2 linked regions of the Diceros bicornis minor genome follow. The protein of the gene in region 1 interacts with the protein of each later gene in a pairwise test. Links are inferred from orthologs where the notes say so. Each region holds a gene or a part of one and is shown in the gene's direction. Other genes may lie near its edges.

The links. The genes of interacting proteins can lie anywhere in the genome.
Region 2: the proteins of DACH1 (region 1) and RNF14 interact in binary tests that used the Homo sapiens proteins (3 or more experiments, as listed by UniProt). The two-hybrid records come from large-scale screens. The link is inferred for Diceros bicornis minor from reciprocal best matches to the Homo sapiens genes DACH1 and RNF14.

Annotation. Positions count from the first base shown.
Region 1 is NC_080748.1:52,105,708-52,112,962, reverse strand, and holds the start of DACH1 (dachshund homolog 1), read left to right. Parts: upstream 1-4,249; 5' UTR 4,250-4,770; coding exon 4,771-5,594; intron 5,595-7,255. UniProt on the Homo sapiens protein: Transcription factor that is involved in regulation of organogenesis. Seems to be a regulator of SIX1, SIX6 and probably SIX5.
Region 2 is NC_080740.1:60,077,744-60,084,675, forward strand, and holds the start of RNF14 (E3 ubiquitin-protein ligase RNF14), read left to right. Parts: upstream 1-3,931; 5' UTR 3,932-3,966; exon of another isoform or gene 3,967-4,026; intron 4,027-4,033; exon of another isoform or gene 4,034-4,290; intron 4,291-6,270; 5' UTR 6,271-6,446; intron 6,447-6,932. UniProt on the Homo sapiens protein: E3 ubiquitin-protein ligase that plays a key role in the RNF14-RNF25 translation quality control pathway, a pathway that takes place when a ribosome has stalled during translation, and which promotes ubiquitination and degradation of translation factors on stalled ribosomes.

The DNA of each region.
Region 1 (7,255 bases):
TAACAATCTGGCAGTCTGGCCATAGAAGTGTGCTCAAATTGATTTGTGTTATGGCTGGACTGGAAAATCTAGTGTTAGTTGTTTTTTGCCCTGGGGCATTGTTTGTACCAAACTCTACTTTTCATTTAATTTTCCAATACATTTTGAAAGATTGAAATGCTTGTGATCAACATTTGATCCACTTGCATTATTTAAAAAAAAAATTCTGAAAGTAATTTCAGATTCCAAAAAATCTTGCTTTCAATTAGAGTAAACATAATTAGAGTGATGTCGTGCTCGGAATGGTAAATCTCCCTTTGAATCTATTAAGCATGTTATCTCCTTGTCCTGTCACTGAAAGGAATTCAGTATAGATCTGAAGTATAGATCTGAAGTGTTTTTCTGTGCATGCTTCTAATAGAACTTGGGAAAAAATTAAAAGAATAAAATTGTAATGAACCTTTTCTTGTTGCCCTTTCTGCATCTGCCCAAATTGTTTCTGTTTCACTTAGTGATGCTATAAAAAGAGGATACTCAAAGCTTTCAGGAAATTTCAAGATATTCAAGAAACACATTCAGATAGCTATTGCCTTTAAGTTACTGAATCATTTTAGTTTTTTATATTCTATGAAATACGCATTTTCAATCTTTCTTTCAAATAACTATATCAATTGCTGTATTGAAACTCTGAAGACTTAAAGACATGACTTATCCTGGCTTTGTCAATATTTGTATCTTTCTTACAATCTTCTGCTTTGCAGTCATTTACCAGAATTATAATGCAGCATGAATAAAGCTAAAAAATGACTATTGATTACAGAGAAAGCTTTGTGAAATCATTTAGTCAGTTTCCCCACTTGAGAAATCGGTGAATAAAAATAGGTCAATAGATAAGGATGGAATGGATGTAACACAGTGCTGTGCCTCCCTGGGTTATAAAAAGGGTCAAAAATAAATCCCCATAGAATTCATGTTTTTATACACATAAAATAAAATGATCCTTACCAAATCCCAACTATAAGTCCACCTTTCTACAATCTATTCTTCGTTTTGAAACCACAGGTTTTGAAAGCATAACTTTTACGTTTCCCTGTTTCAGTAAAAGCATTTCCTTGTCACTGCCCCTTTTAACCAAACAGGATGCCCTCATCTTCGGGCTAAAGTGCCTGTTGTCATCCAGGTATTCACTGGGACTTTTGCTGCAACAGCTACTCTCTATTTTCTTACTGTCTCATGCAACCTTACAGCACTTTTCAAAACTGCATTTCATAGTGCACTGAATTCTGTATCCTGGGCCGATTTTTGCTAATAGATGGTGAGACCTGAGTCCACTCTCTCTATTAGTTCCCATTCATAGGAATACCGTCGGGGACACGGGAGGAGGGGGGCGGGGAGGGGAGAGGAGGGGCCCGGAGGAGGCAGAGGGAGGGAAGAAAATACCTTCCCTGAACTGGTACAAGCTCAGCTTCAAACGATATCCTAGGAAAGAAATTAAAGACTTCTTAATTAGTGCAGCAATTAAGCTTTCTTGGTAGCATTTTAATCAGCACAGGCCCTATCAAAGGACAAACAGAACGATTTGCAGGTCTTTGAATTTTAAACAGTCTTATTGATTTCAGCACAATACGTCTTCACAAAACACAGGGAGAATTTTCTAATATCAGTTACAGTACTTTGAGTTTTGCTTATGCAAATTGAGTGCAGGTTGGAGAAGATGAGGTGGAGGGAGAGGACCTGAAACAACCAGAAATGTAAAAACAATAAACAAACAAGACAAAAGCTTTGAAAGCTAAAGATGCAATGGAAACAGTGAGAATTTGAAATGTCTCTAGTTGATTTATCTGTGGTTGTTAAATACTGTTTGCCTTAATCACTGGTAACATTTCTCAAAAAAAAAAAAAAAAGGAAGAAAGAAATCTTAAAAATTTTTTGAGGCTTTTCTTTCCTACGTGTTTTAATTTGCATTATATGCTTTTTCTAATCCTATTGTTTGTTAAAGGGGTAAGTGGTAGTTCCTAGAGACGGTTTAGAGACCTGAGGTGGGGGGGCGCAGGGGGAGGGAAGCTTCCATTCAGGTGGGGGCAGACACCCCGAGCCCTGCTTCTGAATGGAGCACGTGCTGGGAGGCGCAGGGTTCCCAGCAGAAAATTCGGAGTTTGCTTGGACGCAGGGTGGGATTATGGTTTAGTGAGCTATCATTACTCCCTGTTTGTGGCTTCCAAATGTGGCAGGTACAGGCTGAGTGACAGTTTAAGGAAATGTGAGAAATGAGAATGCTAAGGGCAGATTTTCAGCATTTAAATTCGATTTTTTCATTTGTGGGTCTAGAATTTAAAATGAAGAAACTGTAGTTTAGCGTTTTAAAAACTATATCGGAGTTTATTAAAGTTGTGCATGCAATTCCAAAAGAAGATTAGTTTTTCAGGGCTTAATATCTTCTTCCTGTCTTCTGCTCATTAACATAGTAATTTGGCATTTTTAAAAAAGGTAATATTTTCCAAAACACGTATAAACACTTAAAAGACGTGTTTTGATGTATGGAATATATATCAAATTCCTATTTTTAATTGCGGACAGATATGAGGAGTGAGAAGTTAATATAACTTACTTCTGAATATATTAAAATACATTGGGTAACTAGGCCAAACAACTGTGTAAAGTTTAGTTATCTTTGTAAAAGTTTATCTACTTTTTAGCAAAATCAATTTTCTGAATTCAAATTTCTGAATTCTGAGGCCTCCTGATATGACTGCTATGCCCCAAAAAGTTTAGCAGAAACTTACACAAATTAGTCAAAAGTGTCCTATTTCTCTGTAGACATTCCCTGCACCTTTTGACATCAAACTTCAAAAAGTTGAAAGAATTAAAATAATAAAGAGAAATATGATAATAATCTCGACATCAAAATGGCAGAAACTTCATTATGAAATTTCCCAACACTGTGAACCTGATGTTAATAGTTTATTTTCGAAATCTGTCAAGTGCTAAAGCATTGTTTCTCTCTTGTGAAGTTAATGAACATGTGTAGACAGGTTTAAAGCCTAATTATTTAAGATTCCTAGAGCTATAAACAGAGAACAGACTTGATCTATGTTCAAATCATATATTGGTCAAAGATCCTTGAATAAATACCTCCATGCAACAAGTTAGAAAAGGGAAGAAAAGAAGAGAGCAAGGCCAAGAGGAAGAGAGGCAGTTTCCATTCAGCCTGGTGTGGTATTGAAGCAGAGCTGCGCTGTTTGTGGTCAGCTAGCCAGCTTTGTTTTCTTCATTATTTGCAAAACACATTTTCACTGACAAATCGAAAAGAACTTTCCCAAAATATTGATACTTTTCAAACATGAAAAAAATATTGTTATTCATGTAACACTAGCAGCTAGCCTTGGGTCTTAAAGGACGTGAAGATAGTTGGTTACTGTGCAAGACAGGTGAATTAATTATCGAGTTTTCAGTAAGAAAAATCAGTGTTTTCTTGTTTTCCACTTTCTAAATCTTCAAGGGTGCCTGGTCTCTTCAAAGTCTGGTATTGGTATAATAAGCATTTCTGACCAGCCTTTGGGGCACAAGTGAAGTTATTGTGAGCGATCCACATCAGGGCAAGCAATTCTTTCTTTCCATAATCTCTCAGGAAATAACGAACTAAATACAGAGCATTCCACTATATTTAAGCGGTTTCAAACTGACTTTTTCCCCACAACTTGAAAACTGTCCTGGAATTTTCACTATCTATATAAAAATAAATAATTTAATAGGTAGATAAAAACAATCAGATGCATAAAACAAACGCTTTGCTTACATGTGAATTTTCCTCAAAATACTTTCTTAATAATTATGAAGTGAGGGGATGTTTTCATTGATATCTCATTGGAAAAAACGAGCGGAGATACATCCTAAATCCTTGAAGGAGACCTCGGAGCGCTCTGGCTCCTCTTTAAGTTGGCAGGCGATTGCTTAGAAGGTTTTGGAAAAAATGACGAGTCGTCGCGGACGAAATGGAATTATTAGACATGCAATCTAACGGTAGTAGAAGAGAAATAGATCGCCCTCTCCTTTTCCGATCGCCACTTCTGTGTCCCCGGCTTTTCCTTTCCGTCCCTCCCATAGTTTCTTTCCTTATCCTCCCCCACCCCTCCTCCTTTCCTTGCTCACTCGCTTTTCCTCTGTCTCGCGCTCTCGGAGTCTCTGCTCCGAGTTCCTGGTTGGATAATTTGGGTTAATACTAGTGAGTGAGGTTTCTGCGGCTTCAAAGGGTATTTCAAGTTTCCGGAGCTCCTCCCCTCTGCACCGTGTGACAACAACAACTCGTCCAGCCGGCAGCCTGCACTTTTCAGCTCATTTTCTCTCTGTCATTCCCCTCTCAATCTTTGATCAATGTACTTGCCAGGGAGAACCCAAGTCCTTCAAACCTCCTCCTTTTCACCTTCATCCTTAACTTTGTGCTAGAGCGGGACCCACACAACAACAGCCGACCCTCCCCGCCCCCGCCCCCCCCCCCCCCAAACCAGCCCCCGATCCCAGCCCCCGGAGAGGACTCGCATTTCGACTTGCGGGACACTTTTGTGCGTTTCTCTCCAGAGCGCCTCTCGCGCTCGCCCCTCCTGCGCTCTCTCTCTCTTACCCTCACCTCCTTTTTCCCCCTTCTCTCTCTTGCTCCTTCTCGTTCTCTCCCGGAGTTGTTGTTGTTGTTGTCCCCTAGCTCCTTCTCCCCCTATTTTCCCCCTTCCCCTCCCCGGGGTGTGTGGCAACTTTTCCCCTCGCTTCTCCTCCTTCTGTTTCCCCTTATATGTGACCATGGCAGTGCCGGCGGCTTTGATCCCTCCGACCCAGCTGGTCCCCCCTCAACCCCCGATCTCCACGTCTGCTTCCTCCTCCGGCACCACCACCTCCACCTCTTCGGCGACCTCGTCTCCGGCTCCGTCCATCGGGCCCCCGGCGTCCTCAGGGCCAACTCTGTTCCGGCCGGAGCCCATCGCTCCGGCGGCGGCGGCGGCGGCGGCCACAGTCACCTCCACCGGCGGCGGCGGCGGCGGCGGCGGCAGCGGAGGCGGCGGCGGCAGCGCGGGCAACGGAGGCGGCGGTGGCGGCGGCGGCGGCAGCAGCAACTGCAACCCCAGCCTGGTGCCCGCGAGCGGCGGCGGCGGCGGCGGCGCCTCCAGCACCCCCATCAACGCGAGCACCGGCAGCAGCGGCAGCAGTAGCAGCAGCAGCAGCAGCAGCAGCAGCAGTAGCAGCAGCAGTAGCAGCAGCAGCAGCAGCTGCGGCCCCCTCCCCGGGAAACCCGTGTACTCGACCCCGTCCCCAGTGGAAAACACCCCCCAGAATAATGAGTGCAAAATGGTGGATCTGAGGGGGGCCAAAGTGGCTTCCTTCACGGTGGAGGGCTGCGAGCTGATCTGCCTGCCCCAGGCTTTCGACCTGTTCCTGAAGCACTTGGTGGGGGGCTTGCACACGGTCTACACCAAGCTGAAGCGGCTGGAGATCACGCCCGTAGTGTGCAATGTGGAACAGGTTCGCATCCTGAGGGGACTGGGCGCCATCCAGCCTGGAGTGAACCGCTGCAAACTCATCTCCAGGAAGGACTTCGAGACCCTCTACAATGACTGCACCAACGCAAGGTAAAGAGCGGAGGACAGCCTCCGCCACCCTGGGTCCCTTCCCACATGCCTCCTTGCCCTCTCCTCGCTCCCTTCCCGGCGCCGCTTGCTCCGCGCGCCCGCGAGCCGCGCGCCCCGGCGAAAGCGGCCCTCTCCTCCCTTTCCTCCGGGCTCTCCAGCCGCTCTCGACCGTCTAGGAAGTTGGCACCTCACCCTGCCCAGATCCCGCTCTTCCGGCCTGATCCGCCCCTTGCTCGCCTGGGCGCGGGGGCTTGGCTGCTGTGGGACGCGGGAACCCCAAGCCTCGGGGCGGAGGGGGCGGGAAGGAGGAGCACGGTGCCTTAACGGGAGCCACAGCCCCCTTCCTGGGCCGCGCCAGCGTCTGGGGACCCCTCGCAGCGCTGCTGCCCGCGTGTGCGCTCCCTCGGACCCGGGTTCCACCGCGAGCCGCAGGGCACCGGCGGGGCTGGTTGGCGGCGCCGAGCGGCGTCCCGGGGGCGGGGAGAGGTCGTGACCCTGCCCGGCAGGGTTCGGGGAGCGCCAAGACGCTCTCGGGTGAGGGGCCCGCGAGGAAGCCTAAGGAGTGGGCCGCTTCCAGGTCGAGAGGGGAACGACCTCAGAGGCTGAGAGGCCTGGGGCAATCCCGGGGGACCCGCAGCCAGTTCAGCCCCGAAGCCCCGAGAGAAAGCCCGCCGAGGGGAGGGGTCTGTGTGTGCGCGCATGTGTGCTTGTGTCCGCGTGTGAGCGTGTGCGTGTGCAAAGGAGATAAAGGGGCACATTTGCCCCAGGGCAGATTCGAGAGGGGACTAGCAGGTTTCCTTCTGTAGGGGGAGGTGACCGGGTGCCTGACTCTTGGAAGCTGAACTGCAAAGATGGGGAAGAAGAACACACCTCGCTCGCTCTCTCTCCCACCAAACTGTTTTTTTTTCTTTTCTTTCTTTCTTTTCTTTTCTTTTTCTTTAAAGGTTAGTAGCGCACGCAGTGAGCAGGCGCAGGCTTTGCACTGGGATGCTCTGCGGACCTGAATACCCGGTGCCGTAGCTTCCCCAGCCTCGCAAAGCGCGCGAACCCTGGAGGCCGCAGGACCGGGAGCCCGGCCAGACCAGTTTTATGCTAATGAACGCTCACTGGGGGAGGATCTACCAAGAGGGGGCGGGAGTGGGGTAACTTGTCAGTTTCGGGGTAGAAATGATCATTCCACCCGCTTTCCCAGTTCCGCCTTGCCCCACCATTCTCCGCAGAGGGAAAAGTTCAGAGATGCCGGGAGAAAGCGAGTAGGGAAAGTTGGAGACCAGAAGCGGGCGCGTGGGAACTCCGCGCGAATGCGCGGCGACTTCGGTACCCTCCAAATAAGTTTAACGACCGGGAGAAGGAAAGGAGTTTTACTCTTTTAGATTGTCTGTCCTAGTAGAGCTAAGGAAACTGAGATGGGAAGGAAAGAGGGGTAGGACGAGACCAGAAGGAAACCGGGGTGAAAAAGCCCTTAGCTACTTCTTCCATGGAAGAAGACTCTTGGCTAGTGCCCCTAGAAGGCTGTAAGACGAAAAAGACTCAAACTCCAACCCAGCAAAGGTCCTATCCCGACCTAGCCAGAAACTCTTTTCCGTGTTTATCTGCCATTCTTTGCACGGGGTACATGGGTGTGTGTTTGGGTTTTGAACGTCATTTCTACTATTTTTGGG
Region 2 (6,932 bases), on another chromosome or scaffold:
CTTGTTTCAGGGGTGCTTGTGAGTGGTGGCCATTGAAAAGGAGGCTGCCCCCACTGAGCAGGTGGGATGAGCTCAGCAAAGTTTCTGGACATCCATTGGACGCCAGCAACGGATGGGAAGAAGCGTAGGCACTGACGGAAGGCTTGCCAGTCCCTACAGTCACTACACATATTTTGTGACTCACTCTTGCTTCTCAACCCAATGGACTGGGTCCTGACCTCAGGTCTAGGTCACACATGCCACCCTCTCCTAGCCCTAGACTCCATCATCTAGTGTCCCTGGGGACAGGCAACTGATTTGGGTCTCTTTCTCTCTCTCTGTATGCTCATTCTCGCCTATCATTATGTCATAAACTTTATTCCTAACTTCCCTAGGGCTTTCTCTTTTAATTCTTAAGGCCAGAACTATTTTGTTCTCTCTGTATTTGTTACAACAAACTCTAATTCTCTTACAGGCTACAGGAGAGGGTCACACTGATGAGGAAATGGTCTTAATCCTGTCTGTCACCACTGTATGACACGGGTCAGATCACTTCTCCTCTTAGTGCCCCAATTTGCTCATCTGTAAAATGGGGATACAAAATTACCTCAGTCATGGGGTCCTGGGTATTCAAATGAGACAATGCATGTAAAGTTCTTAACACAGTAGAAGGCTGGGCACATGGGGAAAGCTCAATTTAAAAGACCATTCGGGCACACGATGGGGCCGGCCTGGTGGCGCATTGGTTAAGTGCGCACGCTCCGCTTTGGCGTCCTGAAGTCTCGCTGGTTCAGACCCTGGGCCCGCACCAACGCACCGCTCATCAAGCCATGCTGTGGCGGCATCCCATATAAAGTAGAGGAAGATGGGCACGGATGTTAGCCCAGGGCCCATCTTCCTCGGCAAAAAGAGGACGATTGGCATCAGATGTTAGCTCAGGGCGGGTCTTCCTCACAAAAAAAACAAAAAGACTATTCAGGCACGTGAAACCAAAGACATGAAAGTCTGTTATTTTTATGTAGTCAAAAAAATAAAAATTATTAGAAAACTCTCTTTATCCAATCCTGACCTCAAAACTTGTCTCTAAATATTGAGTCCGATTTGAACATTCATCCAAACTATTACCATTGCTTTGAAAGTCTCTCTTCTTTGCCCTCCATCCTGTGGCATCTGATATGAGGTCACGACATGATGTCACAATTCACCTCCTGCTCTGATTCTGTGAGAATTTCCCGAGCTAACTCTTAGGCTCCTCACTTTTTGCATCGGAAGGTCTCTGGCAGGACTCACGGTCTCACCTCTGAGCACTCTGAGGTAGGGCTGCCAGGCGTTTTGCTCTTGGTTTTATTTCTTTTGGCTAAACAAGAATAATGATATTAGTGAATGGCTTCAGAGATTCTTCTTCCTTCCTTTGCATTTTTAAGGAGTATGTTTCTGGTTTTGGTATCTATTACAGGGGTAGCTAGGTTTCTGTTCTGTGACAGTACAGAAAATTAGGAATGATTATTTATTTGCATTTCAAGGTTTTCCCTCTGTGGCAGCCAGGTAAGCACCTCTAGTGCCTCAGTTTACCCACTTGGTTTTTCTTATCTCCTGGGTGCAGGACCAGCTACATAATTTGCAGACCCCAGTGCAAAATGAAAACTCAGAGCCTCTTGTTCGAAAAGTATGAAGAATTTCAAGATGGCCATAGCAGAGCATTAAACCAAGAGCAGGGTCCTTCTAAGCCTGAAGCCCTCCTGAGCACAGGGTCCTGTGTGACTGCACAGGTGGCTGGCCCATGAAGCCAGTCCTGCCTGGGAGGCACTGGTGGTGAAAACTTTTAGAATCCTGTAGGCTTGGATTAGAGCCCTAGCTCCGCAGGTTGCTTTCCTGTGGGGAGAAGTATATGATAAGAAGGACACAGGAGCTTATTAGATCATTAGGGGCACATTAGTTTGAAGGTTCCCAGAAGCAGGAACCAACATTTCAGCATCCCGCTTAAGTGTTGAGAACAGTGCTTTGTACCTAAATTTTTTTTGAGATATAATTCACATATGATAAAATTCACCCTTTAAAAGTGTACAAGCCAGTGGTTTCTAGTATATTCACAAAATTGTGCAACCATCACCACTATTTAATACCACATTATTTCCATCCCTTAAAAGAAACTCCACACCTATTAGCAGTTACTTCCCATGCTCTCCTGCCTCAGCCTCTGGCTGTCTACTTTCTGTCCCTACGGATTTGTCTATTCTGGACATTTCATACAAATGGAATTATACAATATGTGGCCTTTTGTGTCTGACTTCTTTCACTTAGCATAACGTTTTCAAGGTCCATCCATGTTGTAGCATGCATCAATACTTCATTCCTTTTTATAGCTGAATAATATTCCACTGTATGGGTATTCCACATTTTGTTTATCCATTTATCCATTGATGGACGTTTGAGTTGTTTCCACCTTTTGGCTATTGTGAATATTGCTGCTTTGGTGTACATTTAGGTACACTATACATAAATAAATATATACAAATGTAAATATATACAAATGTACTTGTACATTTGTGTACAAGTTTTTGTTCAAACATATGTTTTCAATTCTTTTGGGTATGTACCTAGGAGTAGAATTGCTGGATCTTATTGTATCTCTATGTTTAACTTTTCGAGGAACTGTCAAACTGTCTTCCAAAGTGGCTACACCATTTTATATTCCCAGCGGTAGATGAGGGTTCCAATTTCTCCACAGCCTCACCAACATTTGTTATTATCTGTCTTTTATTATGGCCATCCTAGTGAGTGTGAAGTGGTTTCTCATTGTGGTTTAGATTTGCATTTCCCTGATGACTAAAGATGTTGAGCATCTTTTAATGTTCTTACTGACCTTGTATATCTCTTTTGGAGAAATGTCTATTCAGATCCTTTGCCCATTTTTAAATTGGGTTGTCTTTTTATTGTTGAGTTGCAGGAGTTCTTTATATATTTTGAATATTAGACCCTTGTCAGATACATGACTTGCAAATATTTTCTCCTGTTCTGTGAGTTGTCTTTTCACTTTCTTGATAGTGTCCTTTGAAGCACAAAATTTCTGATTTTGATGAATCCAATTTATCTTTTTTTTTTTTTTTTGCTGCTTATGCTTTTGGTGTGGTACCTAAGAAACTATTACCTAACCCAAGTTCACAAAGATTTACTTCTACATTTTCTTCTAAGAGCTTTATAGTTTTAGCTCTTACATTTAGGTCTTTGATCCATCTTGACTAATTTTTTGTATATGGCATGAGGTAGGGGGCATGTAATTTTAATTCCTGCTCAGCCTCTCAATAATCATGTGCCCTTCAGTAAGTTCTTGAACCTCTCTAAATTTCAACGTCCTCATTTGTAAAGTGGGGATAATAAATAGTATCTAAATCGTAAGGTTATAGTGAAGATAAAGAGAAAATGTACATAAAGCACTTAGCAAAGTGTTTGAAGCATCCTAACTGCTCCATAAACGTGGTAGTTATTACTATTACAGTATGAACAATGAGTGAATGCTTTCCTAGTGGAGGTGTCAGAAAGATGAGCAGCATTTCTGAGAAGGTAGTTGGGATGGCGGGAGGGAGAGGAGGCTTGCTTAGCCTACGTGGAGGAGCAGGTCTGGATTGTTAGGGGAGTGTCTGCCCCAGGTAGACCGCTGCCTCACGATCACCTCCAGGGATTGGTAAAAGTTCTAATTCCCGGGCCCTATCCCAAAACTACTGAAAGGAGGCCCCTGGGCACGGGGACCCAGAATCTGCATATGCATCAACTTCTCCAGAGGCATACTAAGACATGCAGGCAGCGGTGGGGGTGACGGTGGTCGCGCCCGCGGCGCCGCCTCGGCCAGCAGGGGGCGACCAAGGGACGGGGGCGGTCACGGCGGCTGCGCAGAGCCCTCCGATCCGCCCCGTTCAGCTGACAGCTCCGAAGGCGGAAGAGGCGGCGCGCAGGTGGAGCCGGGTGTCTGCAGGCTGGGCCAGAGTGGCGGTGAGGGAACCTGGGGCAAGGGCGGAACTTTCGGGCCCGGCACGGCCTAGTGGCCGGAAGGTACGGTGGGGACCGCGCTCCGGGCGCTCGAGGCAGAGAAGGGCGGCCGGGCCGGGACTGCTCCGTGGGCCTCAGCTCCCCAAACCCGGGACGGGGAGCCCCCAGCCCGGCCCGGCCGAGGTCCGCCGGGGCGCTCGGAGGAGGAAGGAGAAGGTCCAGGCCCTGCTCCTTCGGGACGCCCGGGGCCGCCCCTCGCGGCCGCACAGCGCCCTCTGTCCCAGCGCCGGGCAGGTTGCGAGGCTTGGGCCTGCCCCCCGGTTGTAGGTGAGTCGCACAAACAACGACTCGGCCCGCGGGGTGGCGAGCAGTGGAGACACCGGCGGCAGTGCGGATCCCGAAGCCACGGCTGACTCCGAGGCTGAAGTCCGAAGGGTGTGCCTTGGGGGCATGAGTAGGATTTTTCCCAGGCCGGAGGGAGACCCGGCGGAGGAGGGGCTTCCCTCACTCGGGTAGCGGTTTCCGGTTTGCCAGAACTGATATTAAACTTAATATCTCTCGTCCAATGGCGCCGGGTTTATTCTAGTTCCTGTGTTACAGATGAAGAAACAGGGTGGTCTGAATCCAGCTTTAGTTAAATATTAGCTGGGTGACCTTGGGCCAGAAAGGGAGTTAAATTGTCATTTCTCATCGGTGTCATGGAAGTAGTAATACGACTTGCTTCCTGGGGTTGTGGGACTCGAACAGGAGTTAATGCATTTAAAGGGCTTAGCACAATGCCTGACACACGGTAAGAGCTCACTGTTACTGTTCGTGCTGTTATTGTGACGACCGACGTCTCCTGCTTCTAGTGGGATGTAGCAGAGCAGCAACTGAACCTTGTAATTCTGGTCCCCCATTTCAGCACACTGCATCTCACCCCAAAAATTAGAAATAAGTTCTCATTTTTTCCAGTGTCTAATGCAAGGCAGTGCTAGATGCTGAGAACAATACACAGATGCAAAAGACTTGATCCTCGCCCTTAAGGAACTAATGTAGTCTGGAAGGAGAGGAAGTACAAGTTCTTAAACTACTGTAATGCGAGGTGGGATGTGAATGTCATAGGAAAGTTACAGTAAAAAAGTTTGTGGGATGTTTAGAGAAAAACGAGGTCTAATTGGAAATTTCTACAAGGAATAGGGGCTTTGGAGGTGGGTCTTGAAGGCTGAGTGGATAGAATCAGAAGGAAATGTAGGTCAGCATCATGAATTAAGGGGTTGGGACCCAGTGGCAGCTTCAGAAGCTGGGGTCTGGTGGGGTAGGGCATGAGGAGCTGTTGACGGGAAACACTGCTGGAGTAGAGCTTGTCAATCCTGGCGGTGCTTTAGAATCACCTGGAGAGCTTGGATAGGTGCTGATGCTTGATTTCATTGCTCTAAAGTACAGCCTGGGTATTGAAATTTTAAAAAGCAGCTCCTCAGGTGATTCTAATGTGCAGACAAGATGGAGAACACTAACCTCCAGAAACTTTATAAATTCATCTCTCACCCCACTTATGAATGTTTAAACAGGAAGAAACAAAAAGCTTGTGTTATCACCATGTACTATGCCTGGTAAGATTGTTAAGATTAAATAAGGTAATGTGAAAGGACCTAAATACAGTACATAGTAGGTGCTCAATAAATGTAAATTGAGTCTGTATTTCATTCTTAGCTCATTTGGGAGTCACACATCTGGGAATCTGGTTTAAAAATTATGGTTTCACATAATATTTTTGCATACAATTTCAGGGTGTTCATAGGATTCTCCATAACCCATCTATGGACCACCCACCCCATCCCCCTCACTCCCAGTGAAGAAGCCTGCCTCTAAAGCCTTTAGAATAGAACTTAAAAGTTTGTGTGTGTGTTGTGCAAGTGCTTTTGTTGTTTTGTTTTGTTTTGAAGTATACTGCTAATAGGCGAGAGGGAAAACTGGAGGGGGATAGGAAATGAAGGAGTAGAAGAAGCAGAAGAGGAAAGGAGGAAAAAAACAACCCAAGATGATGTTTGTTTTGGGGCACAGTGTGCTGTCCTCTCATATGAGCTTGGTGTTCCTCCTAAGCTCCTCCCAGGGCTGAAGGCAGTCAGATAAGAAGGCCTCTCATTGCTGGGGACCTGCAGATGCCTCTATAACCACGTGGCTCAGTTGGGCTGTCCTAGGACAGTAATATGCAGCTGTAGATTAGCATTGACTGTGTGTTAGGATGTGTTTAAGTGTGATAATGGAAATTCAGAATTTAAATTTGGAGAGGGTCCTAACACCATCTTTTGTATTTTTTTTCTGCAGATGGCAAGATTTCTATAGTATATCTAGTATGAGTTCCACATCTTGGCCTCTTATCCACCTTCAGCAATCTCATCTCCACCGCCTGGAGAATAAATGGGATTTCCATGAATTCCAAATTCTGAACTGAAATACAGACTACAGTGTTAATATCCTTTTCTTCTAGTTGTTATTAACAGGTACTAACTGACCTCGAATAGAACCTGTCACTGTGTTCTATTTGGGATAGGGATGCAGCTTAAGCTGAACCATTATCATCTGCTGACAAAAATTGTTTTTTGAAAATGGAATCATTTTAAATGAATTTGTCTAAATTTTGTAGTGTCACCTTTTATAATGTGAAAAACTGTGTCCTAACTTTTCAATTTTACACATTTCAATTAAAAAAAATATTTTAGTCAAGTGGGAGCATATTTGCAAGTGCAATTATAGCCCAATATTTTAATTGACAGAGTGGTAATTTTTTGTTGTTGTTTTATTAAAGTAATTTTTTATAGATTCTCATTACATATTTTTTCCATATTTAAATTATCTGAAATTACAGTGCATCTTTCAGTTGCTGTGATTAAAAAGCACTGATTCAGGGCCAGCCCCGTGGCGTAGTGGTTAAGTTCCCATGCTCTGCTTTGGTGGCCTGGGGTTCACGGGTTCAGATCCCAGGCACG